2 linked regions of the Anolis sagrei genome follow. The protein of the gene in region 2 interacts with the protein of the main gene of each other region in a biochemical or structural test. Links are inferred from orthologs where the notes say so. Each region holds a gene or a part of one and is shown on either strand. Other genes may lie near its edges. The genes, in order: CPLX1 and SNAP25.

The links.
Region 1: the proteins of SNAP25 (region 2) and CPLX1 are reported together in a solved structure, tested with the Homo sapiens proteins (2 studies listed by BioGRID, with this or other methods). The link is inferred for Anolis sagrei from reciprocal best matches to the Homo sapiens genes SNAP25 and CPLX1.

What each region holds. Positions count from the first base shown.
Region 1 is NC_090022.1:154,136,007-154,151,488, reverse strand, and holds the start of CPLX1 (complexin-1), read right to left. Parts: upstream 7,030-15,482; 5' UTR 6,932-7,029; intron 3,603-6,931; exon of another isoform or gene 3,472-3,602; intron 3,253-3,471; exon of another isoform or gene 3,021-3,252; intron 713-3,020; 5' UTR 629-712; coding exon 598-628; intron 1-597. UniProt on the Homo sapiens protein: Positively regulates a late step in exocytosis of various cytoplasmic vesicles, such as synaptic vesicles and other secretory vesicles.
Region 2 is NC_090021.1:145,057,145-145,072,116, forward strand, and holds the start of SNAP25 (synaptosomal-associated protein 25), read right to left. Parts: upstream 5,918-14,972; 5' UTR 5,764-5,917; intron 1-5,763.

The sequences.
Region 1 (15,482 bases), on a different chromosome or scaffold from region 2:
CGTTATTCTTGAAGACATTTCACTAAAGTTCTTTTAAAATAATATTGCATTAGTAAAGAGCAGTGGTGGGAAAAACACTGCGGCTCTGCATGTAGAAAAGGATGCTGGATGCATAAGAAACGGTTATAGGCTTGAGGCAATTCTCAATGCTGCCCCCTATTGGTAGTGGATGGATGGATATTAGATAGATAGATAGATAGATAGATAGATAGATAGATAGATAGATAGATAGATATAGATAGATGATAGTTCTCCCACTAAGCATCCATTCAAAAACCATATATTTTACATAATATATCAGAAGAGGTCTAATTAAGAAACACAGAAAGGTTGAAAATGTTTCAGCCATTCAACTCAACAGTCTACCCAAGGCTTCATGAAACCAGTTAGCTACTAAGGTTACCAATGTGAAATTGGAATAGTTTGCAATGAAAATAAAACTATATAAGGGGGGAGGATACAAATCCATGCTTTCACTAAGCATCTGCATTATAAGGTAAGCTATATCAATTATCATCCCATTATAAATTCCACAGTGATGGTTTAAAATCCCTTCTTCTCTTTAAACAGAAGTAAAATAATATTTTTTCCTCTTACCTCCTAAAGCCTGCTTCATTACAAATTCCATGATGATGGCTTTAGATTCCTTTTCACCAGATCAGTTTTCACATGCAAGTCCAATGGTGACAAGTTCTTGAGTTGCAGCCTGCAGCTGAATGCACAAAGTGAGAGATTAGCGTTAGGACAGCCGTATTTAGTATTCTGGCCCAAGCTCCATATCTTACTGCATTAGATCTCCTTTGCCTTTTGGAAATCAACTGGGCTCAAGATCTCAACACACAAACACACACAAAATGTACTTGTTTATGTTTTAGACAGCTAGAAAGCACAATACACACACACACATATATATACACACTCATATACCCACACACATGATATAATGACCTTTAAAGAGTAAGAAGAAGTGGGGAATCTATTTCTCATGAAGTGTCATGGGATATCACTGAATTAATAGGAAACTATGCCTGGAATTAAATACTACTCATTCCAAATCTTCTTGTTAGAATACCAAGCTCAGCAAAGCTCCGAAAAATAAATAAATAAATAGCCCGCTTGGATTTTTATATGCTGTGTAAACAGATTTGTCCATGGAGATAGTTAATTAAACTTTCCCAACACCTGTTCATTTCATTTTGACCTCTCTAGTTGAACCCAGAACACGTTCAGTTTACATGGCATTTTACAACTGATAAAGAGTTAAACATTTGCAACTTCAGCAATCCTTTCGAAAAGAAATGTGTGTGTGGGATGGGGAGCTCTAGCTAATAAGAGCAGAAGCAGCTCTTGGGGGGCATTTGAAGGTTGAAGCCCTTGTGCTTCTTGAAAACTCAGCAGCAGCCTTCTCTGCCAGACACTCTTAATGGACAACCTCATGTCTGCATCATTGACCAGGAGAGCCACTCCAGTCAAATTGAGTTAAATATCAAACACCACATTATGACAGAGAGCGGGGAGGGCAAGGAGGGAGGCAGGGAGGGAGAGATTTAATGCAAATTGGCTAGTGGAGTTACATCAATATCACATACTGGGGAAAAAATCCTAATGCTAGACAAATATATTCTTCCTTTTGGGGAGAAGAAGCTGAGATCAATTCTGCTAAAAGTCACTGGGAACTTTACTTGAGCAATGAGGCACTATGATTCTCACTACTGAGACGGGAGGAAACTGCGGCACAGATTTTTAAGTTAGCGCAACAACCCCAAGGTGGTTAACTGGACAGCAAAACCTGTCCACTTCCTCTACACAAACATGCAACATTGTACATATTACTCAGCATTTCTGATGCATTTTTTGGACAGGACTGGAACTCCAGAAGTGAATACAAGCGATTACAGTTTGGTTGTGCTGCCGCCAAGCAAGAACAGGCAGTTTTCATGACTCGGCAGAGCCAACAAAATAAAATTTTGAGTTTTTAGATAAAGGTAAAGGTAAAGGTAAAGATAAAGGTTTTTCCCCGACATTAAGTCCAGTCATGTCCAACTCTGGGGAAGTGTTACATATGTGACACTTGGCTTTTAAGTCCTGATTCTTCACCTCAAAAATGGCCCATTCCCCCAGGTCTTCTCTTTTAAGATACAGTACAAGAAGCAATTTTCACATTGTTTGTCATCTCCATTTCTAAGCCAGTGTTGTCTGTAGACACCGCCAGGGACATGTGGCCAGCATGACCCACCGGAGTGGTACCTATTGATCTACTCACATTTTTGAACTGCTAGGTTGGCAGAAGCTGGGGTAACAGCAGAAGCTCACACTGCTCCCCGAATTCAAACCTGTGACCTTTTGGTCAACAAGCTTAGCAGTTTAGTGATTTAATCCACTGAGCCATAGGGGGTTCCTAAGCTTTGCTTTACTAACCCCACAAGGAGAGGGGGAGCATTCATTAAGTTAGATAGAGAAAAGAAAAAATGAAATCTAGAGAGGATATGCTACAATGCTGCATCGATTGGCCCTTTCTCCCTTTCCAAACTTCTGTCCTTGAAAGAAACAGAGCTCTCGCACTCCTGTGACAAGTTGATGCATCGTCGCCTGCACCAAAAAGAGCCGGAGACATGGTTCAAATGCCAATGAGGATCCAATAAGGAGGGGGAGAGAGAGGGGGCTTCCCCAGGCGTTGGATTTTGCACCATTGCAGGGAGGTACCCCAAAGCTTTTGCAGTCTCTGTTTCCTGCCAATCCTTCCAGCTTTTGGGAGGGGACATTGGGTGCTTGACCCATACATCCAAACTCAGAGAGCGTATGGGGTAGGAGGGGGGTGCTGTGCCGTTGGGTCGTTTCCCCCTTCCTTTAGGCTACTACCCGCACTCACAACCTCCTCCTGCTTTGCTCTCAGCGGGGAGCAATGGGAGCGTTCAGCACCAAGGACACTTCCCTGAGCCAAGCGAATGCGGGAGCTTTCAGCACGTTGGAGAGCTCCCAGCCCAGCAATAAGAATAGGCGGCAAAGACCGAGAGTGATACCTCGTTGGGCGCCTTGGATCTCTCTCTCTCTCCGCGTTTCTTCCTTTAGTGGGTCCTCTTTCTCCCGCGATCGGCCGGGTCCATGCGTGACAAGGCGTGGGCTTTCCGGGCAGGGCCAGGAAGAAGTTCTCTCTTCCCTTTCTTTTCCGGACAGGACCAGGATGAGGCAGCAAAGCGAGGGAGGAAGCAAGGACGCGCGGCGGCAGCGCCTTGACTTTCACGGCTCCCTCTTTTTATCACGGGATTTCCGGGACCATCCCACTGACACGCTTCCCGCCTTACACGCGACGCGGGCGCCTTCCTCCTCCTTCTCTTCCTCCTCCTCCTAGCGGTGCTGCTGGGTCGGCATTTCTCGCCCTGCTCTTTCTTCTTCCTCCTCCTCTTCCTCTTCTTCCCCTCCCTTAACCGCGACTTCTGCCGCAGGAAGTTATTGGGCGCACACCTGCAATTGTGGGGCGGATTGAGGGATCCCCAAAGGGGGGAGGGCTCTAACGCAATGGGATCCCCAACACACAGACGTCTGGGCGCCTTAACAAAAACACTGACCTGCCCCTAAGCAGTTGGAACAGGTTGAAAAATGCGGTAAGAGAGATGTATCTCTATGTTTTGCTGTTACTGGAGGGTTGGGCTCCCGCTCTAGAGACACCGGTTCGAGTCCCCACTAGGGCAAGGGAAACCCTCTGAGTGACCTTGAGCCAGTCACACACTCTCAGCCCCGGGAAACCCCGCGAGAGGGACTCCATCCCTTGGAAACAGCTGGGAGGCGCCCCACAACAACAACAACACTCGTGGAGCCTTTCCGGTGGGGGAAAAGAACGTTATATGAGTTGCTGTGAGTTTTCCGGACTGTATTCCATATTCCAGAAGCATTCCCTCCTGCCTGACGTTTCGTCCACATCTCTGGCAGGCATCCTCAGATGGTGAGGGATCTGTTGGAAACTAGGCAAGTGAGGCTTGTGTATCTGTGGAATATCCAGGGTGGGGGAAAGAACTCTTGTATGTTTGAGGCAAGTGTGAATGTTACAATTGGCCACCTTGATTAGCATTGAACGGCCTTGCAGCTTCAAAACCTGGCTGCCTCCTGCTTTGTTGGGAGGCATTAGCTGGCCCCAGGCATGTAGCCAAGGAGGGGCTTGAGGGGCTTCAGCCCCCCCCCCCCCGAAATTCTCATGAAATTCTCATGAAATTCTCGCGAAAAGGCCTTACTGGTGCATTATTTAGACTGTTATGTTTATTCATATCATGATCTGATCACCATATTCAATATATCCCATATGCATGGGGGTATTGGGGTAATGATACAAAAGGTTTGCTAGAGTAGACCCTCTTTCACTCACTCAGCCCCCCCCCCCCGAAACTCAGGGCCCCCCGAACCCCCCCCCCCCCGGAAAAAACTCACCACCACCCCCAATCGAAATCCTGTCTATGGGCCTAGCTGGCCCTGATTGTTTCCTGTCTGGAATTCCCCTATTTTCTGAATGTTGTCCTTTATTTACTGTCCTGATTTTAGACTTTTTTTTATATACTGGTAGCCAGATTTTGTTCATTTTCTTGGTTTTCTCCTTTCTGTTGAAATGGTCCACATGCTTGTGGATTTCAATGGCTTCTCTATGTAGTCTGACATGGTGTTTGTTTGAGTGGTTCAGCATTTCTGTGTCCTCAGATAATATGCTGTGTCCAGGCTGGTTCATCAGGTGCTCTGCTATGGCTGACTTCTCTGGTTGAAGTAGTCTGCAGTGCCTTTCATGTTCCTGGGTTCGTGTTTGGGCAATGCTGTGTTTGGTGGTCCCTATGTAGACTTGTCCACAGCTGCAGACTCCTGCAGAGGTGAAAGGATCCCTCTTGTCCTTCCTTGAATGTAGCATTTGTTGGATTTTCTTAATTGATCTGTAGATTGTTTGTAGGTTCTATTTCTTCATCAGCTTCCCTGTGGTTCTCTTGATGTCATAGAATCATAGAGTTGGAAGAGACCTCATGGGCCATCCAGTCCAACCCCCTGCCAAGAAGCAGCAAAATTGCATTCAAAGCACCCCCGACAGATGGCCATCCAGCCTCTGTTTAAAAGCTTCCAAAGAAGAAGCCTCTACCACACTCCAGGGCAGAGAGTTCCACTGCTGAACAACTCTCACAGTCAGGAAGTTCTTCCTAAGGTTCAGAGGGAATCTCCTTTCTTGTAGTTTGAAGCCATTGTTCCACGTTCTAGTCTCCAGGGCACCAGAAAACAAGTTCGCTCCCTCCTCCCTATGACTTCCTCTCACATACTTATACATGGTTATAATGTCTTCTCTCAGCCTTCTCTTCTTCAGGCTAAACATGCCCAGCTCTTTGAGCCGCTTCTCATAGGGCTTGTTCTCCAGACCCTTGATCATTTTAGTCGCCCTCCTCTGGACACATTCCAGCTTGTCAATATCTCTCTTCAATTGTGATGCCCAGAATTGGACACAATATTCCAGGTGTGGTCTAACCAAGGCAGAATGTTGGGTAAGAACATTTTTCCTCTGGGTGGATCTTTACTCTCATAGCTTGGTCTTAGTCTTGCAGAAGGATTCCCCCAGGCAGGAAGCAGCCAGGCTTTTAAACTGCAAGGCCATGCAATGCTAATAGCATAGTGGGTTAAACCTCTGTGCTTGCAGGTCTGAAGACCGACAGGTCGAAGGTTCGAATCTGGGGAGAGGCGGATGAGCTCCCTCTATCAGCTCCAGCTCCTCATGCGGGGACATGAGAGAAGCCTCCCACAAGGATGATAAAAACATCAAATTATCTGGGCATCCCCTGGGCAACATCCTTGCAGACGGCCAATTCTCTCACACCAGAAGTGACTTGCAGTTTCTCAAGTCACTCCTGGCATGACAAAAAAAAAGCCATTCAATGCTAATCAAGGTGGCCAGTTGCAACATTCACACTTGCCTCAAGCAGACAAGAGTTCTTTCTCCCACCACAGAAATATAAACCCCACTTGCCTAGTTTCCAACAGACCTCACAACCTCTGAGGATGCCTGCCATAGACGTGGGCGAAACGTCAGGAGAGAATGCTTCTGGAACATGGCAAGGCAGCCCGGAAAACACACCGCAACCCAGTGATTCCGGACATGACAACACATTTCGACAACACCTAGAACGGTGTGACTTGGGGAGGGAGCCAAGTCAGCAGTTTCTCCTGTCTTCTCGAGGCGCCGCAGACCCATTTCCGGAAATGTAAGGCTTTTAGGGGCCAGTTTAGGGGGCAGGGAGGAGGGAGGCACTCTCCTTTGGCATCCACAATGGAGGGATTTTCGCTCCTCTCCAACCACACAACTCTGCCGGCTCTCCCCTCCTTTCTCTCCGAGGGGCGTCTGAAGGTGAACCCAACAGTATGGCTGAATGGGGATGCCGAGCCTCCAAGAGGCAGGCGAGAAAGAGGGGGGAAGGGGTCTAGAAGAGAAAGGGAGGGGTGACGCGGGGAGGGGAGGGAGACACCTTTCGTCCTTCACATCCCTCCCTTCTCCTCATTTTTTTAACATGCTGCAATAGGGCTCTCTCTCCATCCCTCCTCCTTCTTCTCCTTCACCCTCCTCCTCCACTGCAGAGACCCAGTCAGCTGATACCGCCTCCCCAAAGAGGCCCCAAAGCGCTCAGTCCTTGCGTGACGGGCTGCAAGAAAAGGGGAAGGAAGGAAGGAGGGAAGGAAGGGGGGAAGGGGTGGGGGTGCAGTCCGGAGCTCCCCGGTTAAATCCGAACGGGAAGAAGGAAGGAGGAAGAGGGGGGGGGGTTGCAGGAGGCGGAGGTCACGTGAGGACGCGGCTCCCCGGGAACACGTTACAACCAAGGTCAAAGGGGGGAAGGAAGAGGAGGGAGGACGCCCCAAAACCCACCCTGGGGAGGGAGGGAGGGAGGGAAGGGGGAGAAGACTACCCGCTCTCAGGCGCGCTTACTCAGTCGTCAGGCCCGCTGGCTGCTCCCGGCGCTGGCTTCGCTCAGGAAAGCTGGAGCTCTTGTGCATCTACACTGCAGAATTGAAACCGATTGACACCCCTCCACCTGGCCTCTTTGGCAGAGCAGGCTCAAGACCTTTGTCAAACTACAACTCCCGTGATGCCAGAGCCATGGTAGTTATTTATTTATTTATTTATTTCGAGGTTCTATATACCGACCCTCTCACCTTCAAAGAGGGATTTTCGGGCTATATGGCCCAGTTAAAGTGGAATCAAATTCTACAGGACTGTCAAATTCATTTTCATGGGGGGCCACATCATCTCTCAAAGGACCAAGGCAGAGACATCTCCAGCTCATCCCGTTTGGGTATCAGCCAGCACGTCAACGACTTAAATCAAGACATAGTTTTCTTAGATCTACAGAGACACTCGCTGGAACACCCCAGCAAGCGAGAGTCCAAAAGTGGCAGGCCCAAACCCAGCACTTCAATCCATGGGTGATACCAGATGAGAGACTCCCCCCTGGGCACACAGAAGACTGGGCGACTTGGAAGGCGCTGAACAGACTGTGCTCTGGCACCACGAGATGCAGAGCCAACCTTGAGAAATGGGGCCACAAAGTGGAATCCTCGACATGCGAGTGCGGAGAAGAGCAAACCACAGACCACCTGCTGTAATGCAACCTGAGCCCAGCCACATGCACAATGGAGGACCTTCTTGCGGCAACACCAGAGGCACTCCAAGTGGCCAGATACTGGTCAAAGGACATTTAACCAACTACCAAGTTTGCAAAATCTGTGTGTTTTTTTTCCTTTTTCCTTTTAATCTGTGTATTTGTTTTGTTCTGTTAGAATTGTAACACAATGGTATGGTTGCTGATGACACGATAAATAAATAAATCTCTCAAAGGGCCGTTGAACCCATGGACAGAGAATCCCTGGATGTAAAGGGTCAATTATAATTTATTTGTATACTAGCTTGGGCACCCTGGTGGCGCAGTGGGTCCGACCGGGGTATTGGGTGGCAACCTGTGCTTGACGGGGTCTGTAAAGGTAAAGGTAAATGTTGTCGCCTGACATTAAGCCCAGTCATGTCTGACTCTGGGCAGTGGTGCTCATCTCCATTTCTACGCCGAAGAGCCGGCGTTCTCCATAGACACCTCCAAGGTCATGTGGCCAGCATGACTGCATGGAGCACCGTTGCCTTCCCAGCAGAGCAGTACCTACTGATCTATTCACATTTGCATGTTTTCGAACTGCTAGGTTGGCAGAAGCTAGGGCTGACAGCGGAAGCTCACGTCGCTCCCCGGAATCGAACCTGCGACCTTTCGGTCAACAAGCTCAGCAGCTCCCGGACGGGGTCGGACTCCCTCTGAAGACACAGGTCCACAGCTTGGGGGTCCTCCTAGATTCAGTGCTGACACTTGTATAATAATAACTTTGTTTTTATACTCCCACCATCCATCTCCCATAGGGGACTCGGGGCGGCTTACAAGGGACACGCCCAAGATTACAATTAAAGCACACATGTAAAACACTTGGACCAATTAAAACATCAGATAAAACAAATAACAACACAATTAAAATCAATATAAAAACAATACGGCTGAAAGAAACATAGCTGAGGTACAGATTCAATGAGTGCAATACATTTTTACAGGACTGCAGGAAAGTGCAACAATACAGTAAAATGGGCAGGAAATACTGTCATAACACATGTAGAGGTAGGATGTATGCCAGTGTAAAATGCGGGCTGGTGTAAAGTGCGGAACTTCAAGTAGGGACAAGAAAGTTACTGGTGAGCTGCTTAGTCAAAAGCGCACTGGAATATCCAGGTTTTCAGTTGACTATGAAAGGAGGACAAGGTGGGAGCCTGTCTGATCTCCCTAGGGACAGAGTTCCAGAGCCGGGGGCCACCACCAAGAAGGTTCTCTCCCTCGTCCCCATCAACCGTGCATGTGACAGCAGGAGGGGAGAGAGCAGTGCCCTCCCAGAAAATCTCAAGGTACGCACTTGTTTATAGGGGAAGATGCGGTCACGAAGATAAGCAGGTCCCGAACCATTTAGGGTTTTATAGGTGATGACCTGCACCTTGAATTGGGACTGGAAACTTATCATAAGCCATTGGAGCTGTTCAAACAGGAGGGTTGACCGCTCTCTGTAACCAGCTCTTGTGAGTAGTCTGGTTACAGATCTCTGGACCAACTGTAGTTTCCGGGCCGTCTTCAAGGGAAACCCTACGTAGAGTGCATTGCAGTAATCCAACCTAGATTATGCATTTGATGCTCAGGTGGGCCACAACCATAACTGAGTGATATTTATTATTATTATTATTATTATTATTATTATTATTATTATTCAGGTTGTCTATCAAAAATGCAACTGGATAAAATGCATCACTTCAAGAGAAATGATGATTATGACAATCAGGGCCAGCTAACACCTCCCAAAAAAGATTCCCCCAGGCAGAAAGCAGCCAGGCTTTGAAGCTGCAAGGCTATTCAATGCTAATCAAGGTAGTCAACTGCAACATTTACACCTGCTTCAAACAGACAAGAGTTCTTTCTTCCTCCTTGTACATTCCATAGATATATAAACCCCACTTGCTTAGTTTCCAACAGACGTGGGTGAAACGTCAGGAGAGAATGCTTCTGGAACATGGCCATACAGCCCAGAAATTTCACAGCAACCCAATGATTGTGAAATTTGCAGACAAAAAATGTAAACAAAAAATACTGGAAAAGAAACACACATTCCTTGGAAAGAACAGGGAGCAAAGGTCTCCATTCAACAGTTGCTCTTATTTAGACTAGACCTATTGGATCAAAGGAACATATGTAAATACTGACTTTCCAAGTTCTGGTTGATTCACTGGATCTAGTCTAGTTAGAAATCACTGACCGACACACATTTTGATGCCTCAAATATTAAATCTGTTTCAAGGTATATATGACCTGCTGATTCCAAGAATGGCACCAGTTTTCCTTATCAGTCTTAGGTTTTGAGATACAAGACATTTGGCATCTATCAGTTGCCATCTGCTCACCCATAGAAAACCATTATAACTGTATCTACGAAACTAGAGCTGATGCAGTCTATTCAATGCAATTTTCTGAATCAGTGCCCCTAATAACTCCAGGAACCGGACTAAAAACCAAGAGACCAAGAATTTTTTTTGTTGGGCTGTGTGAAATAATTAGATTTAGGTTTTTGAGTCTTACAAGAGGATATAGTACAATGATGGGCTGAGAATGAAGGCAAGATTCAGAGGATAAGAGATTTCACAATCTTCCCTTCCCTTCAAGTGTACATTTTTGAGGGTGCCCAGGCACAGGAGAGGTAAGGCCAGAATATTGAGAAGAAATAAGCCCTGTCCAGTGGTGCAGTGGGTTAAAATACCAAGGTGCTAAATGTGTTGATCCAAAGGTCGCAGGTTTGAATTCGGGGATCAGTGTGGGTTCCCGCTGTTAGCCCCAGTTTATGCCAACCTGTGTGCCAAGTTTGGTTCAATCTGCTTTGAACTGGAATATGCAGTTTATGCAGTTTGAAAAGGTGCAAATGTGAGTAGATCAATAGGTACTGCTCCGGTGGGAAGGTAACGGCGCTCCATGCAGTCAAGCTGGCCACATGATCTTGGAGGTGTCTACAGACAATGCTGGCTCTTTGGTTTAGAAATGGAGATGAGCACCAACCCCCAGAATCAGTCACGACTGGACTTAATGACAGAGGAAAACCTTGACTTTTACCTTTACCATTTCCAAAAGGGGCCTTGAGTTTCATGTTTCCACATTTTCTGTATATGATTATGCATGTTTTCTATTCCTGCCTGCAGCAGATTGTTCTATAAAGGAAACCACTGGGAAGCTGTTACCTATTTTGAATTATATTAAATACTAGCTGTACCCCCCATGCGTTGCTGTGGCCAACCTTCCCTCACTCTTTCTCTCCTTCATTCCCTCCCTCCCTCTTTCCTTTCTTCCCTCTTTTTCTTTCCCTTTTTCTTTCTTCCTTCTCTACCTGTTTCTTTTCTAACTTCCTTTGCTCTTTGGTTCCATCCTTCCTTGTCTCTTTCCTTCCTTCCTTCCTTCCTTCCCTCCCTCTTTCTCTCTATCATTCCTTCTCTCCTTCCTTCCCTCTTTCACTTTTTTATTTCCGTCTCACCTTCCTTCTCTACCTTTCTTTCTTTCCTTCTTTCCCTCTTTCTCTCCCTCTTTTTCTCCTTCCTTCCTTCCTTCCTTCCTTCCTTCCTCCCTTCCCCCTTTCTGTGTATTTGTTTTGTGTGTGCATATATGTGTGTATGTATTTCTGTATATATTTGTGTATATGTGTAAATATGTGTGTTTGCATACATATGTGGTTTTGAGCATGTGTTGTAATGTATTTTTTTGTTTTTCTGGCTTTTAAAGTCTCTTCTGCTGTGTTTTCCAGTGTTTTTATGAGTGATGGTCACTTGCTGGCCAGAGAGGTGTCTTGTGTCCAAATTTGGTGTCAATTTGTCCAGTGGTTTTTGAGTTATGTTAATCCCACAAACAAACATGACATTTTTATTTATATAGATTTGCAATAGATGGGATCCGTCCATTCATTTACTGAAGGTATATATTTTTAAAGATGACAATGGACCTGCGTTGCCAGTAATTACTTCCTAATCCAAAAGAGGCATGGGCTCAGATGTTACTGAAGTGCAGCTTCTGTTTTTCAGTCTCCTTTGTACCCCAGCCTAGACTAAAAATGCCTCTCAGAGTGACCACAGTTGATTTTCAGTGGGCTTAAACCACACATTGAACTCTGTACTGGATTTCAGCCAGCTGGAATAAACTAATACAGTGGCTTAGAGCCAAGGCAGACATTAGCACTGCCTGCTAACTGTTGCAAATAACCAGCTCATGGAGCAGAACTATGCCTGTGAGCAGTCTAACCTCAGAACTGCCAAGTCATGCAAGGTTGCTCTTTCTCTCATACAAACAGAAAGAAAGTACAAGTTTTTCTGTGTGCCAAAGGAGATCTGCAAATTCCAGTGAGCCCAGTCTCCCATTGTTAAGAGGCTCATGTGAACTGACCTCTTGCCAGATAAGTGGCTACCAGTAAAATCGGCAATAAACAAACCAACCAACACAATGGTACAGCACAACCTTGTGCCCTTGAGAAGTGCACCATGGATAGTACAAAATGAGAATCAGTAAATATATGCTATGTGAGATGTATACATTCCTTGCACAATGCCCTTGGATATATTGTGTGTTGATATATTTCATCAGGTCCTACAGAAACCTGGACATTAGCAGTTCAGAGAGAAAGAAATGTAGAATTTTCAGACTCCCCTTGTACTTCTAACTAAACTACATATTTCAAGAGTCCATGGGGGTCAGCCCTGAAAGTTAAAGTGAAACCATAGTGCTATAACTCTGCAATGTGAAAGGACCTCAGATTTTACAACCATTGTGTGTGCATGGGCGATACACCTCCCACAGCTGACCCAAGAAAAACCACTAACACAAGGTTGTTGGGATTAACAATGGCCACAACTCATTTATTGATAACAGGAACAAAGGTTGGCAGCCATGCATGGGCCCTGGATCAGGATTGGGCAGCCCACTGCTGTCCGATACCACCAGGGTGCCACCAGCACAATACTGGGCCAATGTAAACTCGACACCCCTGAGACTACCAGGCGTTCCCCCCTTCCGCTAGAGGGGGATACCAAGCCAGATCCTGGGCCCATGCAAACAGGAGTTGTGATGGGTAGCACCTAAACAAGCAACTGTGAACAGGTAACCATGACAAGCTCTGGCCACGGTAGTCCACGCTCTGGTTACATCCCGTTTGGACTACTGCAACGCTCTCTACGTGGGGTTGCCTTTGAAGACGGCCCGGAAGCTCCAACTAGTCCAACGTTCGGCAGCCATGATACTAACGGGAGCAGAGCGCAGGGAGCATACAACTCCTCTGCTGTACCAGCTCCACTGGCTGCCGATCTGCTACCGGGCTCAATTCAAAGTGCTGGCGTTGGCCTTTAAAGCCCTAAACGGTTCTGGCCCAACTTACCTATCCGAACGTATCTCGGCCTATCAGCCCGCCAGGACCCTAAGATCTTCTGGGGAGGCCCTGCTCTCTATCCCGCCTGCTTCACAGGTGCGGCTGGCGGGTACGAGAGACAGGGCCTTTTCTGTGGTGGCCCCGCGGCTATGGAACACCCTGCCCTTGGAGGTAAGATCAGCCCCTTCATTGATGATATTCCGAAGAAGATTGAAGACCTGGATGTTTAAGCAGGCATTTGGTTAACCCAATGCAACAAATGGTAACTGACTAAAGGACTGGCAACATGGATGACGAACTGGATCACGTTTTTAGTTAAGAGTCGAACTGGATTGGTATTGATGTATGAATTGTGTTTTTATGTTTTTTATGTTTTTTATGCTTTTAACTGTATACTGTTGATTGTTATATTATGTTGTAAACCGCGTTGAGTCGCCGGCTAGGCTGAGAAACGGCGGTATATAAATATAGCAAATAAATAAATAAAATAAATAAATAAGCTAACAAAGCAAGCTAACTGTAGACAAAAAATGCAAACAGCATGCAGGGTGGGTGGGGTGGATCAGCTGATGCAGGTACAGTGCCTGCTGGGGAGCTTGGGGCAGCCTTAAATAGGCTGCCCCATAGGAGGGAGAGGCCAGCTCCAGCCTTTCCCACAGTGAGGCATGACCAGCTGGCCAATTGGCCACCCGGCCATACGAGGTGGCTTCTGGGAGGAAGAAGTCCCCTCAGGCAAAAATGGCGGTGGAGGATGCCCCGCGCCACAATGTCCCTTGCCTGGTAAGTTGTACCATGCCTTTTCTTAACACATATGCCCCAGCTTACAGGTAGCTCTTCAGGTTCTGAATCTTTTTGGAGAGTAGAGTTCAGCAACAGGACAACTCCCATCTCATCCAATGGCCCTATACCTGAGAAGTGGATCCAGCAGATCTCTTTAGACCAGTGGTTCCCAACGTTTTTTTTGGCCAGCGACCACTTGGCCAGGGACTATTCTCCAAAATTATTACAAAAGGGTTACAAATCAGTTTTTGGTCAACTTTAGATTCAGTTTGGTTATTTAGGGTGGTGATTCAGAAAATGGCATTGAATAGACCACGTCAGCTCTAGTTTCTGATACAAAATATATGCCATCAAGCAGTCGCCATCTTCTCACTCCATATTTAATAATCCAGAGATGATGTGATCTATCCAATGAAATTTTCTGAATAAGCTCCCCAAATAATCCCAGGAACAGGCTTAAAAACGAAGACACCAAGTCTCCTCTGCCTTCAAGTGCCACATGGAATGGTTCCACTCAGGGTGAGGGAGGAGGAGGAGAAGCAGTCAGGAGGCTTGTTATTATGCCTTTCATGGGTAGTCAGCCTCTCCCATCCCTGTTGCCTCGGCACTATAAGATGGGTTCACAAGATCAGTCGTTCTCTTTGCAACAGTGTAGTAGCGGTGAGACCATGGACCATATTTTCGTTCTTGGGGGAAACTGGTGGTCCACAGACCATGAGTTGGGAACCACTGCTTTAGACAGATTCAAGCACAGAGAGACTCAAGAGTAAAATGCAGACTCAAGAGAAGTAAAGTGTCTGGCAGGGAGGAGCTAGACTCTTTCGGGAGGCTATGAAATACTTGGCAGTCAATGCTCTACTCCCATTAGAAATTTGATATCAGAGAACCTCTCAAAAGAAGGCACTCTGTAAATATTCTGGAAATTGAAATAGATTCATAGGACTCAAAGGAAAACATATACCTGCCCTGGAATCAATGTGAGGAAAGTGTTCATAAAGGAAGAAAATGGCTGGGCATGGCCTTATAAATAAAAGGGGGAGACACTTTTATAACCATGAAGCTTCCAATCTGTTGGCACAAACTAAAAAAGCATGGGAAAAGCAGGCCCTCAGCTACTTCCCTGACAGGATTGCTCTGTCCTTGTGTGTTTCTAATTAGCTTAGCGTTGCTTGCTGCAAAGCAAGAAAAATCAGACATGGAACTAATTAGCAGAGTCAAAAATGTGGCCTTTGGTTTAGCTAAGCCATGTCATAGGTTCACAAGATATTAAAAATACGTGAGGAAAATGGAGATAACAGAATTAATTTATTCTCCCTCTTTTCAAATTCTTAGGAGGAGAGAGGAAGAGCTGGATGCAGCATCTCCTTGGGTACTGAGTATTGAGAGATGAGGAGGAGGAGGAGGAGGACAACAATGATTTCTATCTGTCTCTTCCCATGCAACATATTGTATATAAGTTAAAAAAAACACAACCAAGTTGAAACAACAATGTAAAGTAACACAAAACTCAACACATAGTAAAACAGCCAGTACATAATTCAAAATTCATAGTTTAAAAATCATATTTTAAAAAATCAGCTAAATAGGCCTGCCAGAAGAGACTGGTCTTTATTGATGTTTTAAATTCACTCAGCTTGTTTAATGGTCAAAGTTCTTCTGGCAGGTCATTCCACAATCTAGGGGTAACTGGAGAAAAAGTCCTGTGGGTGATCATCATCAGACAGACTAGTCATGAC
Region 2 (14,972 bases):
ATCACCACCCCCAGCTCCTTCAAGGTCAGTCCAGTCACTTCAAGGATGCCATCCATCCATCTTGCCCTTGGTCAGCCCCTCTTCCTTTTACCTTCCACTTTCGCCAGCATCATTGTCTTCTCTAGGCTTTGCTGTCTCCTCATGATGTGGCCAAAGTACTTCAACTTTGTCTCTAGTATCCTTCCCTCCAGTGAGCAGTCAGGCTTTATTTCCTGGAGGATGGACTGGTTGGATCTTCTCGCAGTCCAAGGCACTCTCAGAACTTTCCTCCATGCATATGGGATATATTGAGCATGGTGATCAGATCATGATATGAATGAACATAACAGTTTAAATAATGTACCAGTAAGGTCTTTTCGCAGACCACCATGAGAATTTCCCGGGGGGGGGGGGGGCGCTTGAGCTATATGCCTGTCTCAAAGGTTGTTAGGTCAGTTGGAAACTGGGCAAGTGGAGTTTATATATCTGTGGAGTGTCCAGGGTGGGAGAAAGAACTTTTGTCTGTTTGAGGCGAGTGTGAGTGTTGCAATTGGCTACCTTGATCAGCATTGAATAGCCTTGCAGCTTCAAAGCCTGGCAGGGGTGCTTTTCCTACATGGCAAGAAGGGGTTGGGCTGGATGGCTTTTGGGGTCACTTTCTTCCAACTCTGAAGATTCTCTGATTCTTGGGAGACGAAGGCTGGCGTCTCCTCCTCCTCTTCCTCCTCCTCCTCCCTCCTTGGTGCCACGCGCCATCTGAGTCATTATTGCCTTCTTGGAACAGGTTCCCGGCTGCTCACGCAACCGACCCTTGGCTTAATCCAATTGCTGCATTTTCTGGCAGGCGGAGGAGCCCTTGTGGAATCCCGCTTTGGCCCCGCAGAGAGATTCTCATTGAGTTGCCATACATTTCCCAAACCCACTATGTTTCAATTTTCCTCCCCCCCCCCTAATTTCTTTTGGAGTCACGAGGCACCCCAAGAACGCCAGGAATGAAGCTTGGAGGGGCGTCCTCCTCCCCCGCGCGCCTCTCCCGCGTGGCCTCTCCCTCCCCGCTTTGCCTGGGGGCGGGCCAAACCATTCCAAAGCGGAGGGGGGAGAGCGAGAAAAGAGAGCGAGAGGCTATGTTGGGCTGCTTCTTCTTCGAAGGCGCGTGCTGCGCTGGTCACGTGGGGCCGGGCCGCTGTCGCAGGTTTGAATCACAAGCCCGGCTCGAGCGCAGAGGAGCCAAACCGTGCGGAGGAAAGAAAGATGGCTCCGTGCTATGGAATCTGGGGTGATCTTGTAAAACCACAACTCTTTGAAGATTCCCTAGCATTGCTACCATTCCTTCTACAGCGCCCAAAGGTGCGCCATTGAGAATTGGGGAGAGGGAAGGGTGTTAGTGAGGAGGACCTCCGTCCGAAGAACGTGCTTCCTCTTCCTCCTCCCGCCCCGCCTTGAATGCCGCAGATGGACGCCAAGAGCGGCTGGAGAAACGTGACCGAGAAGAGAAGCTGATCAAGGGGGGCGGGTCGCAAGGGGGCGTGTTTGACGTACATCTAGATCTAGGGAGACTCTGGCGCCTCCAGGGAGGGGTTCTCAGTCTCCCCCCCCCCCTCCCTCCAATCGATCAGCCTTCCAAAATCAGAACAGGCGGAGGCGCTAGATGGAAACATCCATCTCTCTTGGCGCCTTGGTTCCCAGAGAGCCGCCATGGCATGTTTGTTTTGGAAATACCCCCCCCCCCCCCCCAACACCAACACCACTTCCTCTTGCAGAGAGAGAGAGAAAGATGGAAAGAGCTAAAATCCCCGATACTCTGGCATCTTTCCTTTTGACTCAACCAAACTAAATGGGGCTTTAATGGATGCCCTGATTCTTGGCGTCATTATGTAAATAGATATTAGATAATGACGCTATGTATGCATGTAATACGTATAGCAAGAGTAATTAACGTTCCTGGGGGGATGGGGATTTGGTGGTGGTGGAATTGGGGAAAATACTGGTATTTTGACTGTTTATTTTGAAGATTGTATGTTTCTATATATGATACAATATATTTTTAAAAAGCTATGTATGCATGCATGTGTGTATATGTATATGTATGTATGTGTATATATATATATATCCAGGGGCATGTAGCCAGGTTGGGGGGGGGGGGGCTTGAGGGGCTTCAGCCCCCCCCCCCCCCCGAAATTCTCATGGTGGTTCACAAAAAGACCTTACTGGTGCATTATTTAAACTGATATGTTTATTCATATCATGATCTGATTACTATATTCAATATATTCCATATGCATGGGGGTATTGGGGTAACGATACAAAAGGTTTGCTAGGGTAGACCCTCTTTCACTCAGACTGAGCCCCCTCCCCCCCCCCCCCCCCAATCAAAATCCTGGCTACGGGACTGCCTTGGAGGTGACGTTTGGTGCTGCTTCAGAATAAAGATGACTTTGGAAAAGAGAAATGCTACCAATCCAAGAACAGAATCTAAACCGTCGGGAAAGGGCTTGATGCAGCTATTCCCAGAGGGCGAAATAAACTCAGCCCCCCCCTCCCCGAATCGAAATCCTGGCTACGGGCCTGTATATGTCTGTGTATATGTAAATATATAAATACAGATGCATCTATATATGTATATATAAGTATATATGCATATATAAATAAGGATGTACCTATATATGTATAGATAAATAAGTATGTATGTGTATATATATATATATAGGTGTGTGTGTATAAGTTTGTATATATACATATATATGTATGTATGTATATATAAAGTATGTATACATATGTATAGATAAGTAAGTATGTATATATATATGTTTATATGTGTGTGTACAAGTTTGTATATATACGTATATTATATATTGCTTCTTGGCAGGGGGTTGGACTGGATGGCCCATGAGGTCTCTTCCAACTCTTTGATTCTATGATTCTATATGTATGTATATATAAAGTATGTATACATATGTATATATAAATAAGTATGCATATATAAATAAGTCTCTCTCTCTCTCTCTATATATATATATGTATGTACGTATGAATATATAAATAAGCATATTTGTGTGTGTATATATATAATAAGTATATATACCGTATAACTATGTATATTTATGTATATGTGTGTACTGTATTTATGAATTGGAGTGCGTTTTACAATCGATGGCGTCTTACAATTTCAGTACCAGCACCACCCACAAAAAATACCCAAGATACACCCCATTTTTAGAGATATAGGGGGAAAGTGCGTCTTGGAGCTGAAGGTATACTAGATAAATAAATAGATATATAGTATATCTTCAGTCAAGGGGGGGTTTACCTTTTTAGATAGATAGATAGATAGATAGATAGATACCTTCAGTCAAGGGGAAACCTTTATCTCCCTATCCCTATTTATTTATTTTTTACAAAATAGACATGTCCTGCCTTTCTGAAGCAAGATTGTGTGTATGAGAGAGGAATGCTGCCGGAGCCCCCCCGCTGCCAATCCGTTACATAAGATAGCACGCACCCGGTTGAGGGAGCTCTGCAGCATCAGGGTCCTCCTCTTCCTCCTCCTCCTCGTTCGGCTTCCCTCCCCTCTGATAGAGAAAGGTGGGTTGGGGAGGTGGGCGGGAGAGTTTTGAAGCCCATCTCCAGCACCCATCTCCTCTCCTTCCTTCTCTCCATCCCCCCCCTCCCTACTCTTCCCCAAAGACTCTTGCCCATAATCCAGTTTCAGAATGGCCTCTCGACATGATGTCGTAGTAGGCAGGAAACATGAATGAAGCCGCCCTCCCTCTGGCCGTGGCAAGAGGAGAAAGGGTTCAAAACCACTAGGAAGCGGAATAGGAACCCTGCAGCCTGCTCTCTATTTAGAGTCCCCACGATGCTTGTTATTCCTCTGCGTATTGGAAGAATCTCTTCCTAGATAAACAAGGGTCCATAGTATTGATTGAGGGAAAGAGATATTCATATTCAGCAACAACTGAAGGTTTTGCGACAGGACTGCAACGGCACGGTTGGGAGAGCTTTCCAGCTTCCCTAAATGGCGATGGATGCGGAGGTGAATTTTTGAAGAGGCCAAGGAAGGGGGTGAAGCATGTGAGGCATGTAAACAGTCTTGATCGCACCCGGAATTTGGAAATACGGGACTAAATCCCACTGTTGTCCTCCCCAAGTAGAGCAGACCTCTTGGAAGGAGCCATGACTGACTAAATGCCACATTGAATGAGTAATAAATGACTGGAATATAAATAGACTCATTGGATGAGTAACGTTTTGCAGTCCTTGTGCGGGCTTGATTTGGTCCAGTAGGTCTATGCGGTGGAGGCTAAGCCTTAGATTTAGCTTGATGTTTCTCACTAGTTGTTACTATTTATATCATTATTAATTATTATTATTAATTGTTATTATGCGTAGCCCCCAGGCATCGAGGCAAGAGATTGGCCTTCCTTCTCTACAATGTCTCAGAGCCAGAAACCCTTGCTCCTTCCTGAATGCAGACAGGGGAGCTGTCCGAGGTGCTGAACCCAAGCTCTATACTGTGTGCGGGGTTTTCCTCTGAGCCGGAAACGCTGTATACTTAATACAGGCAGGTGAGCTGTCCGAGGTGCTGAATCCAAAGCCCTCTGCAGTGTCTGCGGGGTTTTCTTCTGAGCTCCTTATCCTTAATGCAGGCAGGGAGCTGTCCGAGGTGCTGGACCCAAGCCCCCTTGTGTTGCTGTTGCTGCTGCGGCATCAGAGCTGGGAGCTGCGCGCGCAGCCCCTGATGGATTCCTGCGACGGAGGCGGCTGCTGCTGTCCATGGTCCTGAAAGTGGAGCTGCGGCGGAAGACCCTCGGCCGCTCTATGCAACAAAATCCGCGCTATATCTCTGGTATTATATCCCCCACACACATCCTTCCAACTTTTGCCACCATATTACGAGGCAGCCAAAACAGAGCTATGCGCCAAAACGAGAGAGGAAATGAAAGCGAGAGAGAGGCCAGCAAAACAAAAACAAACCCTTTGCTTTCCCTGTTCAGGAATGCTGGGAGAAGAGCATTAATAAGTTAAGAATACATGAATATTGTCGAAGGCTTTCATATCCGGAATTATAAGGTTGTTCAATGTATTGTCGAAGGCTTTCATGGCCGGAATCACTGGGTTGTTGTAGGTTTTTCCGGGCTATATGGCCATGTTCTAGAGGCATTTTCTCCTGACGTTTCGCCTGCATCTATGGCAAGCATCCTCAGAGGTAGTGAGGGCTGTTGGAAGTAGGAAAATGGGTTTATATATTTGTGGAATGACCACAGACCACAGAGTTTTCCGGACTGTATGGTCATGTTCCAGGAGCATTCTCTCCTGACGTTTCGCCTGCATCTATGGCAAGCATCCTCAGAGGTAGTGAGGTCTGTTGGAAGTAGGAAAATGGGTTTATATATCTGTGGAATGACCACAGATCACAGAGTTTTCCGGACTGTATGGTCATGTTCCAGGAGCATTCTCTCCTGACGTTTTGCCTGCATCTAGGGCAGGCATTAATATTTCTCTCCCCTTCATCTTCTCTTTCATTATGATTGGAGATATTTCTGCTCCTCCTTCTCAGACTAAACAGTAAACAAATGAGTGTTTTTCTCTCTCTCCATCTTCGTACTGCTCCTCCTTCCCTTCTCGGCCTAATGAGGGTTTCTCCTCCCCCCCCCCCCCCCCCCCCCCCCCCTCTAATCAGAAATAAACATCAGGGTTGAAGAGATTCATACTCTCCTTTCTCCCCCGCAAAGCAATGGAAAGAAAAGAAGGCAGGCGCCAGGGAGTGCTTCCTTCCCTCCTTACCTGGCCTCCGGGAGCGTTGCTTCCTCGCAAAGCCTGGCTTGGCTGGCAACCGGGGAAGGAGAAGGAGAAGAGCCGCTCCTGACCTCTCCGAGTCTCCTTCTTCAATGAAACGGGAGCTGTGCCCTCATCAAAGATGGCCGTCGCTCCCAACGTCAGCAGCTTTTAATAGACATCTATTGAGGGGCGGATGGGAGGGGGAGGAGGGGAGGGAAAGGAGGGCGCGCGCGCGCACGAGGAGAAGGGAAGGGAGGGGGGAAGAGCCGGAGCGCCAGGGAGGCGTCTGGGGGAGCTTGACTCATCAGAAGCTGATGCTGCTGCTGCTGTTACTGCTGCTGCACAATATACCGCAATCCCGGGCATTTCCCTCCCCCTCCTATACAGAAAAGAAAACAGAGAGGAAGGGATCCGGTAAAAAAAAAAAGCAGTTAAAGGACCCAAGAAAGGGGGTGTGATCTTCCGTGCAAGCCAGAGTTTGGAAGGGTGTTTTGAAAGGGGGAAAAAGTATTTGTTATGATGAGAAGTTTTGGTTTCCTTCAGCTGGGGGCGGGAGCAGCACTGCGGTAGGGATTTGTTTTCGCTAGAGCAGTGGTCCGAAAAGGGTATTCCTCTGAAGACTCCAGCAGACTCCATATATGGCCTGTTGACGTGGCTCTTTCTATTTTTAAGGATGCTTTTCCTTACTCCGAAGAAGCCACATTTCTCGGGGGGCTTGTCAAACAAGACAATGAGGACTCCCCAATAATTAAAATGTGGGGTTGTTTGTTGTTGTTGAGAGGTTTTACTTTTTTGCCTTGTAATCTACGTTGGCACATAATGCAGGGTTGCCAAAGAGCTGATTATATCTTTAGAGAAATGCAGAGGTGCCATAGATTCAGCCCACAACCACCAGCCTTATTTACTTTGTGTTGTCGAACGCTTTCATGGCTGGAATCACTGCGTTACTGTTAGTTTTCCTGGATGTATGGCCATCTTTCAGAAGCATCCTCTCCTGACGTTTTGCCCACATCTATAACAGGCAGGGCTGTAGCCAGAAATGTTTTTTGGGGAGGGTTGAAAATTTCGAGGGAGGGGTTGAAAATTTCGAGGGGGGGGGGGTGTGTGTGTGAAAATTTCGAGGGGAGGTCAGGCCTGTAGCCAGGATTTCAATTCGGGGGGGGGGGGGGGCTGAGTTTTTTTCAGGGGGGGTTACGGGGGGGGGGGCTGAGTCTGAGTGAAAGAGGGTCTACCCTAGCAAACCTTTTGTATCATTACCCCAATACCCTACCTGCCTACAGTTTCTCTCCTCCTGCTGCTTGGCCTCATCCAACTCTATGATTCTATGAGGCCTCATCCAACTCTATGATTCTATGATTCTGGATATATGGGATATATTGAGTATGGTGATATGAATAAACGTAACAGTTTAAATAATGCACCAGTAAGGCCTTTTCGCGAACCACCATGAGAATTTCGGGGGGGGGGGTGGCTGAAGCCCCTCAAGCCCCCCCCCCAGCTAAATGCCTGGGGGGGGGCGTTGAAACCTGCCTCCTAGCTCACGCTTAAGCAAAGAGCACAGCAGGGGGCAGAGCAGCCTTCAATAGCCTGCAGCTCCGCCCCTGTAAACCACCTCCACCAAGTCTGGCCTCCTTAATGAAAGCATTCAAACCCCCCCCCCCCCAAACTTGGTTGCTTCACTGCATCGGCTATTGCTGCATGTAATGACAGTGTGAACAAATTGTCAATATTTGCTTGAGAAAGTGCTTGCAGTTCTGGAGGGACTCTTAATTTTTGCATCTCATAGATTTAGCATGGGGATTTGGTTAACCAGTTAAAATTCATGAGTGAACTAGGTTTTTTTTAACCTGAAAATTTGGGGGGGGGGGGTTGAACCCCTAACACACACACACACACACACACACACCCGCTACAGGCCTGATAACCGGCATCCTCGGAGGTTAGGAGGTTATGAGGTCCGTTGGAAGATAGGCAAGCTTATTTACTTTGCTCATCTTCAAACCTGGATCTAGACACTAGACTCCTATTGATGCAGGCCAAAATCCCATTGGCTTTTTTTGCTGCTGCATCACATTGGTGGCTCATGTTTAACTTGTTGTCCATGAGGACAAGTTAAATATAGTTATTTTTCTATTTAATAGAAAAATAACTACATGCATATGACTCCTACAAACTATATTTTTTCATCTTGAAACACTTTTGTTTTTATGTAAAGGAATCAATATAGGATGAATCTCCCTTCTCTCTCCCCATCCTGAAATATATCCCATCAAAGAACCACTGTGGCCCAATCCCTTGAAGAAAATCAAAGATAGCACAACCATGTTGACAAAGCAGGGAAGCAGGATGTGTGTCTCAGTAAATCTTGAGTTCAGGTGGACCATAAAGAAGGGAAGCAGAAATAACAGTGACCCTCTTCCTCTTTTGTTGGAAAGGGAAACCTTCTACAAGCCTCCTATACCAGTTATTTGTTTAGTATATAATTCAGATTGCTTACCGTATTGTATATGTGTGTATTGGTTTGCAGTTATCCTCAGTTCTATGTTGTAGGAGGGCTGCAACATAGAACTGGGACTGTTCATCTGAAACTCCATTTTACTAACTGTATAATTTCCAGATGCCAGTAGAAACAATATGCTTTTGGAAGACTGTAGAAACTGACTGCATACACACTATTAGACTTTCAGACTAGAGAGATGCTCCAATGGTTCTCAACCTGTAAGTCCCCAGATGTTTTGGCCTTCAACTCCCAGAAATCCCAGCCAGTTTACAGATGTTAGGATTTCTGGAAGTTGAAGGCCAAAAACATCTGGGGACCCACAGATTGAGAACCACGGCTTTAGACTATGAGCTGTTAAGATTACAAGAACAATCCCCTGTGTTATCTGCACAGAGAAATTACTTCAAATCCTATCTGTAACTGGATTGATAAGCAATGTACTTATATGCTGAATACTTGAAGTTTGTGAGTAAACCAACTATGCTGTTTTAACAAAGACTACTTTATTTTTGGCATCTTGAAGCATGATTTAAACCAGGATGTTTTAAGAGACAGTTGATGTTTGTTTAGGCAGCTGAAATAATACTTTTGAAACTCTGATATATGCATTGGCATATCTTTGTTCCTAACAGTTCAAAGAGATATCTAGATATATCAGTCTAACATCTGAGAAACCTAATTGCTTTGCATGAATGCTAGTGATATTTACCAGTAAGGGGAAGGTTGACTCAAGTGCATTTTTAACTCTTCTCAGGAAGATCATACTTTACAAAAAGGTTATGATCTCTAACAAGGTCATGCCTTTCTAAAAGATTCCTGGTTTTTCCAAATGGTTATGAATATTCATTTTCCAAAAGGTTATGGAGATTTCCATTTTCTGAAATCTTTAGTTCTCCTGCTTTTCCTTTTTCAGTTTGACATGATCATGAAAAACTGTGGTGCCCGATCTTGAGCTAAAATTCCAGGACACTTGGTTCCCCTGCAGAAACCTCATTTAAATTTAGATGTTCTAAAACTGGAAGAAGAAGAGGAGGAGGAGGAGAAAGAAGATCTTTTAGAAATGTAAGAGGCAAGGCAGAAGAATGAGAAAAGACTCCAGGCTGCCTGCCTGTTATGTGCCTGCTATAGCTTGTAGAAAAGTATTTGAAATGAGATGAGATGCAAGGCTCCTGCTACTGAAAGCAAACCTCTCATTTTTGAAATGGAACTCATCTGCAGTCTTGACTACACCTCTCAGAATCCTTTGCCATTGGCCATGTTGGCTGGGAGTTTTGAGAGTTGAGGTCTGATAGCATCTGGGGAGCCAAGGCTAGAAACTATCTTTTCTTTACTTTTCAAGGGACTCAAGGTATCAAGAATCAAAATCATGGGTATATTAGGACTCTGGGCACTTTCTGCCTGCCCGTTCATCACAGATCCATCAGCCCAGAAATGCAACAATCTCTGTCTAACCTTCTGGGCCTACCATATGCTTCCTCTCTTCATGAATAAGATTGTGTGGCTTGGATTGTGTGGCTAGGATGGTCCACAGAAATGAGCACCCAAAGTACTGGCCTTCCCTCCATCCCTTCGTGTTCACAGTTGTCTTGAAAGAAAATATTATTCGATGTATCATTCCATCTGGCTCCTTGTTACTTTGGTACTTTCACAAAATTACTGAGGATGTATAGCAGATGTGTGCGGGCGGCCCTGAAGTAAGGCTGATGGTGGCAGAGAGGAGGGGAGAGGGAGGTTTGGATGTCAGGCTTGTTTCTAGGCAACAAAGGCTCTCCTGGGAAACTGCAATCATGAGCAAACTGGGAAGGGAAAATAAGTGGGCCTTGACTGGGAAGGTAGTGGGAAGGGGGCGTTGACAGCATTTGAGAACTAGCCATCTTGGGGGATTCCCTCAGAGCACAACTATGCCAAGTGTAGGAAGAAAGAATGAAGAAAAGTTTCTGGGAACATTCTGGAATGTGCACTCTTGTACATAGTGGTGTCACAAAGTCTGGACTACTTAGTACAAAACAAGATACCGTAAAGTCCAGAGTAATTACAAATAATTGTGGTAATGTTTTTTTCTTCTCCTTATTTAAAACTATGGAGTTGAGGAGCCTTCTAATCAAGGTGAAAGAAGAAAGCACAAAAGCTGGGCTGCAGCTAAACATAAAAAAAACCAAGATTATGGCAACAAGAATGATTAACAACTGGAAAATAGAGGGAGAAAATGTGGAGGCCGTGATAGACTTTGTATTTCTAGGTGCAAAGATTACTGCAGATGCAGACTGTGGCCAGGAAATCAGAAGACGCTTACTTCTTGGGAGGAGAGCAATGTCCAATCCCGATAAAATAGTAAAGAGTAGAGACATCACATTGGCAACAAAGATCCGCCTAGTCAAAGCCATGGTATTCCCTGTAGTAACCTACGGATGTGAGAGCTGGACCTTAGGGAAGGCTGAGCGAAGGAAGATCGATGTTTTTGAGCTGTGGTGTTGGAGTAAAGTTCTGAGAGTGCCTTGGACTGCGAGAAGATCCAACCAGTCCATCCTCCAGGAAATAAAGCCCAACTGCTCACTGGAGGGAAGGATACTAAAGACAAAGTTGAGAATTGTAATTTTAAATGGTAATTTTATTCTTCTCCATGCCAAAAAAAAAAAAAAGCTGCATACTGAAATGGATGGTGTTGGTTTGGGCCTCTCTCAGAAGGAATTCTTCCTCTTGCCCAGTAAAATGAGAAGGCTGAGAGCAAACATGGGACTGGCAGAGAAAGAAATGTCACTCAAATAGCATTGTTTCCAAATCCCCAATGACAACTGATGGCTTCCATGTAAGTGGGATAGCTTTTAACCCACACTATAGGATTTGCTCATACGCTGCACATTACCCTATATATTCATTACCTTAGCTAGCTCCTTTAAAATTCAAGCAGAAACCCAGACTTAATTCACAACCCAGTGGAATCAAAGTCATCAACTGCTATTATTTATGATTGATTGTTTATATTGCCCATTTGCTTTGTTTCTTATTTTGTGTTGTTAGCTGCCCCGAGTCCCCACTGGGAGAGAGGACAGGATACAAATAAAGTTTTGATTGATTGTTATGGAGACTGCTACTGAGGCCCCCACGACCCTGCCCACATAATCCATATTATAGCTCCAAGAAAGCAAACCCTTGTCCAATGTCACAACTATTCAATTTAGATTCTGGTGTGACTGTCTTGTTCTGCTGCTGTCCTGATAACTGACAGTCATGTGGCACAGGTGGATATAGCTTTCCTCCTCATCCACATCTCCAAAGTAGGGTGAAGCTGTGATGCTTTTACTCTGTGCCAAAGTGCTGCTGGAGAGGTGGTGTGAAAGTGATTGTCCCTGTTTGCTTCAGCTTTATTATTGCTGTGAGACAACAGGTTGGTGTGATAAAACCCTGAATTGAGGAAACTCTGGACCATGAATCTTACCATCTTTGCTGAGCCTGGTGGTAGCAGAACAAGAGAGATTATTCACATTTACAGGGCACCACTGCAAACTGTTGAAACAGGAAACTATGATGGCACAGCAAAGATCCTGGAAACAACTAAAATTGTCTAGATATATTCCAAAACATGGCCCTGGGAGAAGGCTCCAGTCTACTGGAACCTAGCCAGAGATAAATATAGCCCAAACTACATTTGGAAAGATGTGTCTCCACAAGAGATGGATGGCATGGGTTACAAACCTCTGGGTAACACTGGTGCAAAAATGAATGTTGATGGAAGAAACAGCCTTGGAATGGTCAAACCAATATTTTCCTGCTAATGTTGTAGCTGGGGAGCATGTTCCTTCTAGGTGTGACTGATTCTAATTACCTGCAGCTTGGCAAATGATGATGGATGATGGGAACTGTAGCAGCATCTGGGGGTGGAGACGCAAGCTTTCCAGTTCTTTATTCATAGAGGGATATTGGCCTTCAGCCTGAGACATTTGTGTTGAAGCATTTCAATAAAGCTTTGACTTACTGGAAATTCCTGGCGAGTTCCTCCTGGCCTCTATTCTCACTCTGTGAAATTGGGACATTACTGGCCAGCTTTATTTTGTGAAGGAATGTAACAGTTATGACCCCAAAGAAATGTGTGACTAATACTTTTTTTAAAAAAAATATCCTCCACAGCATATTATATTTTCCCTATCTTTCCTACCAAGTTACTTCTGAATCAGAATCTGCATTTGCACTTAAGCATGAGAGGAGGAGGCTTGAGCTGCTAAGCAGAAGAAAACAGTAAAAAAAAAAATCTCCCTATACACATCCAGGTCTTCAGCAATTGCTTAGGGAGCTGCCTGGATTAGAGCCAAGGTGGTCCCTATGGTGCATTGAAAGAACTGCATTCTAAGAAAAAAAGATCGAGTCAAAATTTGAATACTTCTTTTTGTAGCAGCAAATCAGGGAATGAGTTCAAAAGAACAGACACAGCTTAGCTCTGTTGTGTATACAAAGGCTAATAATTTGATAGGAAGAACTTGCATTATTCCTGTCTCTGCGTTTGCTCACCAGTTATGCCCCATATATCTACTTTTATTGGTTAAGAGTGCCAGGCCGAGTAACTTTACTTTCTAAGAGATGAACCCCCAGAATGCCCTGGTTGGCCCTGGTCATGTTGACTGGGGATTCAGGGATTTGTTTTTCACAAAAGTATATTTCCCAAACTCTGCTTCTATCCTCCTTTTTTATATAAAATAATCAGATCTAAAGAGATTGAGGGTAAAGTCACATTGAAATGTGTATAGGAATTTCATTTAAAAAATGAATAATTATGGTTCTTAGAAGGGTCCATGGGTATTTTGCTTTCCTTCTCTTCTTTCACATGCTGGTGAGATGGCTTGTTTGGGTGGATCTACACCAGTGGTTTTCAACCTAGGGTCCCCAGATGATTTTGGCCTACAACTCCCAGAAATCCCAGCCAGTTTACCAGCTGTTAGGATTTCTGAGAATTGAAGGCCAAAAACATCTGGGGACCCCAGGTTGAGAACCAATGATCTACACTGTTGAATTAATGCAGTTTGATAGCACTTAAACAGCTATGGCTCAATACTATGAAATCATGGGAGTTGTAATTTGGTAATGTTTTAACCTTCTCTGTCAAAGTGTGCTGCTGCCTCATCAATATAAAACTCCCTTCTGTTTTTCTTCATCACTCCGGTGATTTATCATTTTGCTTTTATTTGGAGTCTCGAAAATGAACCTATTATTTATTTATTTCCGGTATTTCTATCCCGTTCCTTCTCAACCCCTGAAGGGGGACTCAAGACAGCTTACATTTGGCAGTAATTCGATGCCACTACATATAGCACAGCAATATATTAACAATTAAAACAATAAGTAAAGCATTTATTAAAACAGCAAAAAACAGTATTAATAGCTGTAACATCATTCTAGTCAATTCCATATCCAACTCCATGTCCAAAGTGCTATCTGTGTCTGTTGTCCAAAAGCCTGGTCCCAGAACCACACTTCAATTTCTTCCTAAATGACAGGAGGGATTGAGCTGATCTTATCTCAGTGGGAAGTGAGTTCCACAGGTGGGGGGGGGGGGGCACAGCCGAGAAGGCCCTGTCTCTCGTTCCCACCAGATGTATTTGTGACACTGGTGGGAGCGAGAGCAGGGCCTCCCTGGATGATCTGAAACTTTGAGGCGGGATGTAGAGGGAGATGCGTTTGGACAAGTAAGCTGGGCCAGAACCATATAGGGGGTCGGGACCCCTGGGGGGGTCGCAAGGGGGTGTCAGAGGGGTCGCCAAAGACCATCAGAAAACACAGGATTTTCTGTTGGTCATGGGAGTTCTGTGTGGGAAGTTTGGCCCAATTCTGTTGTTGGTGGGGTTCAGAATGCTCTTTGATTGTAGGTGAACTATAAATCGCAATAAGTACAACTCCCAAATGTCAAGTCTATTTTCCCCAAACTCCACCAGTGTACACATTTGGACATATGGAATATTCCTGCCAAATTTGGTCCAGATCCATCATTGTTTGAATCCACAGTGCTCTCTGGATGTAGGTGAACTACAACTCCCAAACTCAAAGTCAATGCCCACCAAATCATTCCAGTATATATCTGTTGGTCATCGGAGTTCTGTGTGCCAAGTTTGGTTCAATTCCATCATTGGTGGAGTTGAGAATGCTCTTTGAGTGTTGGTGAACTATAAATCACAGCAACTATATGTCCCAAATGACAAAATCAATCCCCCTTCCAACCCCACCAGTATTGGGCATATTGGGTATTTGTGCCAAACTTGGTCCAGTGAAGATATGTCCTACATACCAGACATTTACATTACAATTCATAACAGTAGCAAAATTACAGTTATGAAATAGCACCGAAAATAATGTGATGGTTGGGGGTCACCACAACATGAGGAACTGCAATGAAGGGGTCACTGCATTAGGAAGGTTGAGAACCATTGATATAGGGCTTTATAGGTCAAAACCAGCACTTTGAATTGAGCTCGGATGTGGACCTGCAGCCAATGCCACTGGGCTCTGAAAAACATCTCCCATTACTATTGGTGGTTTAGCCTTGAATAAGTCCCCAAGGTTCTTGTGACCAAAAGTAAAAGGGTCACATGGTGGGTAGCCTCCTTAGAAAGAGAAGAAATAGGTTTGGTTTTAATGTTTTTAGGTTCTTGTGGGTTTTTTTCGGGCTATAGAGCCATGTTCTAGAGGCATTTCTCCTGACGTTTCGCCTGCATCTATGGCAAGCATCCTC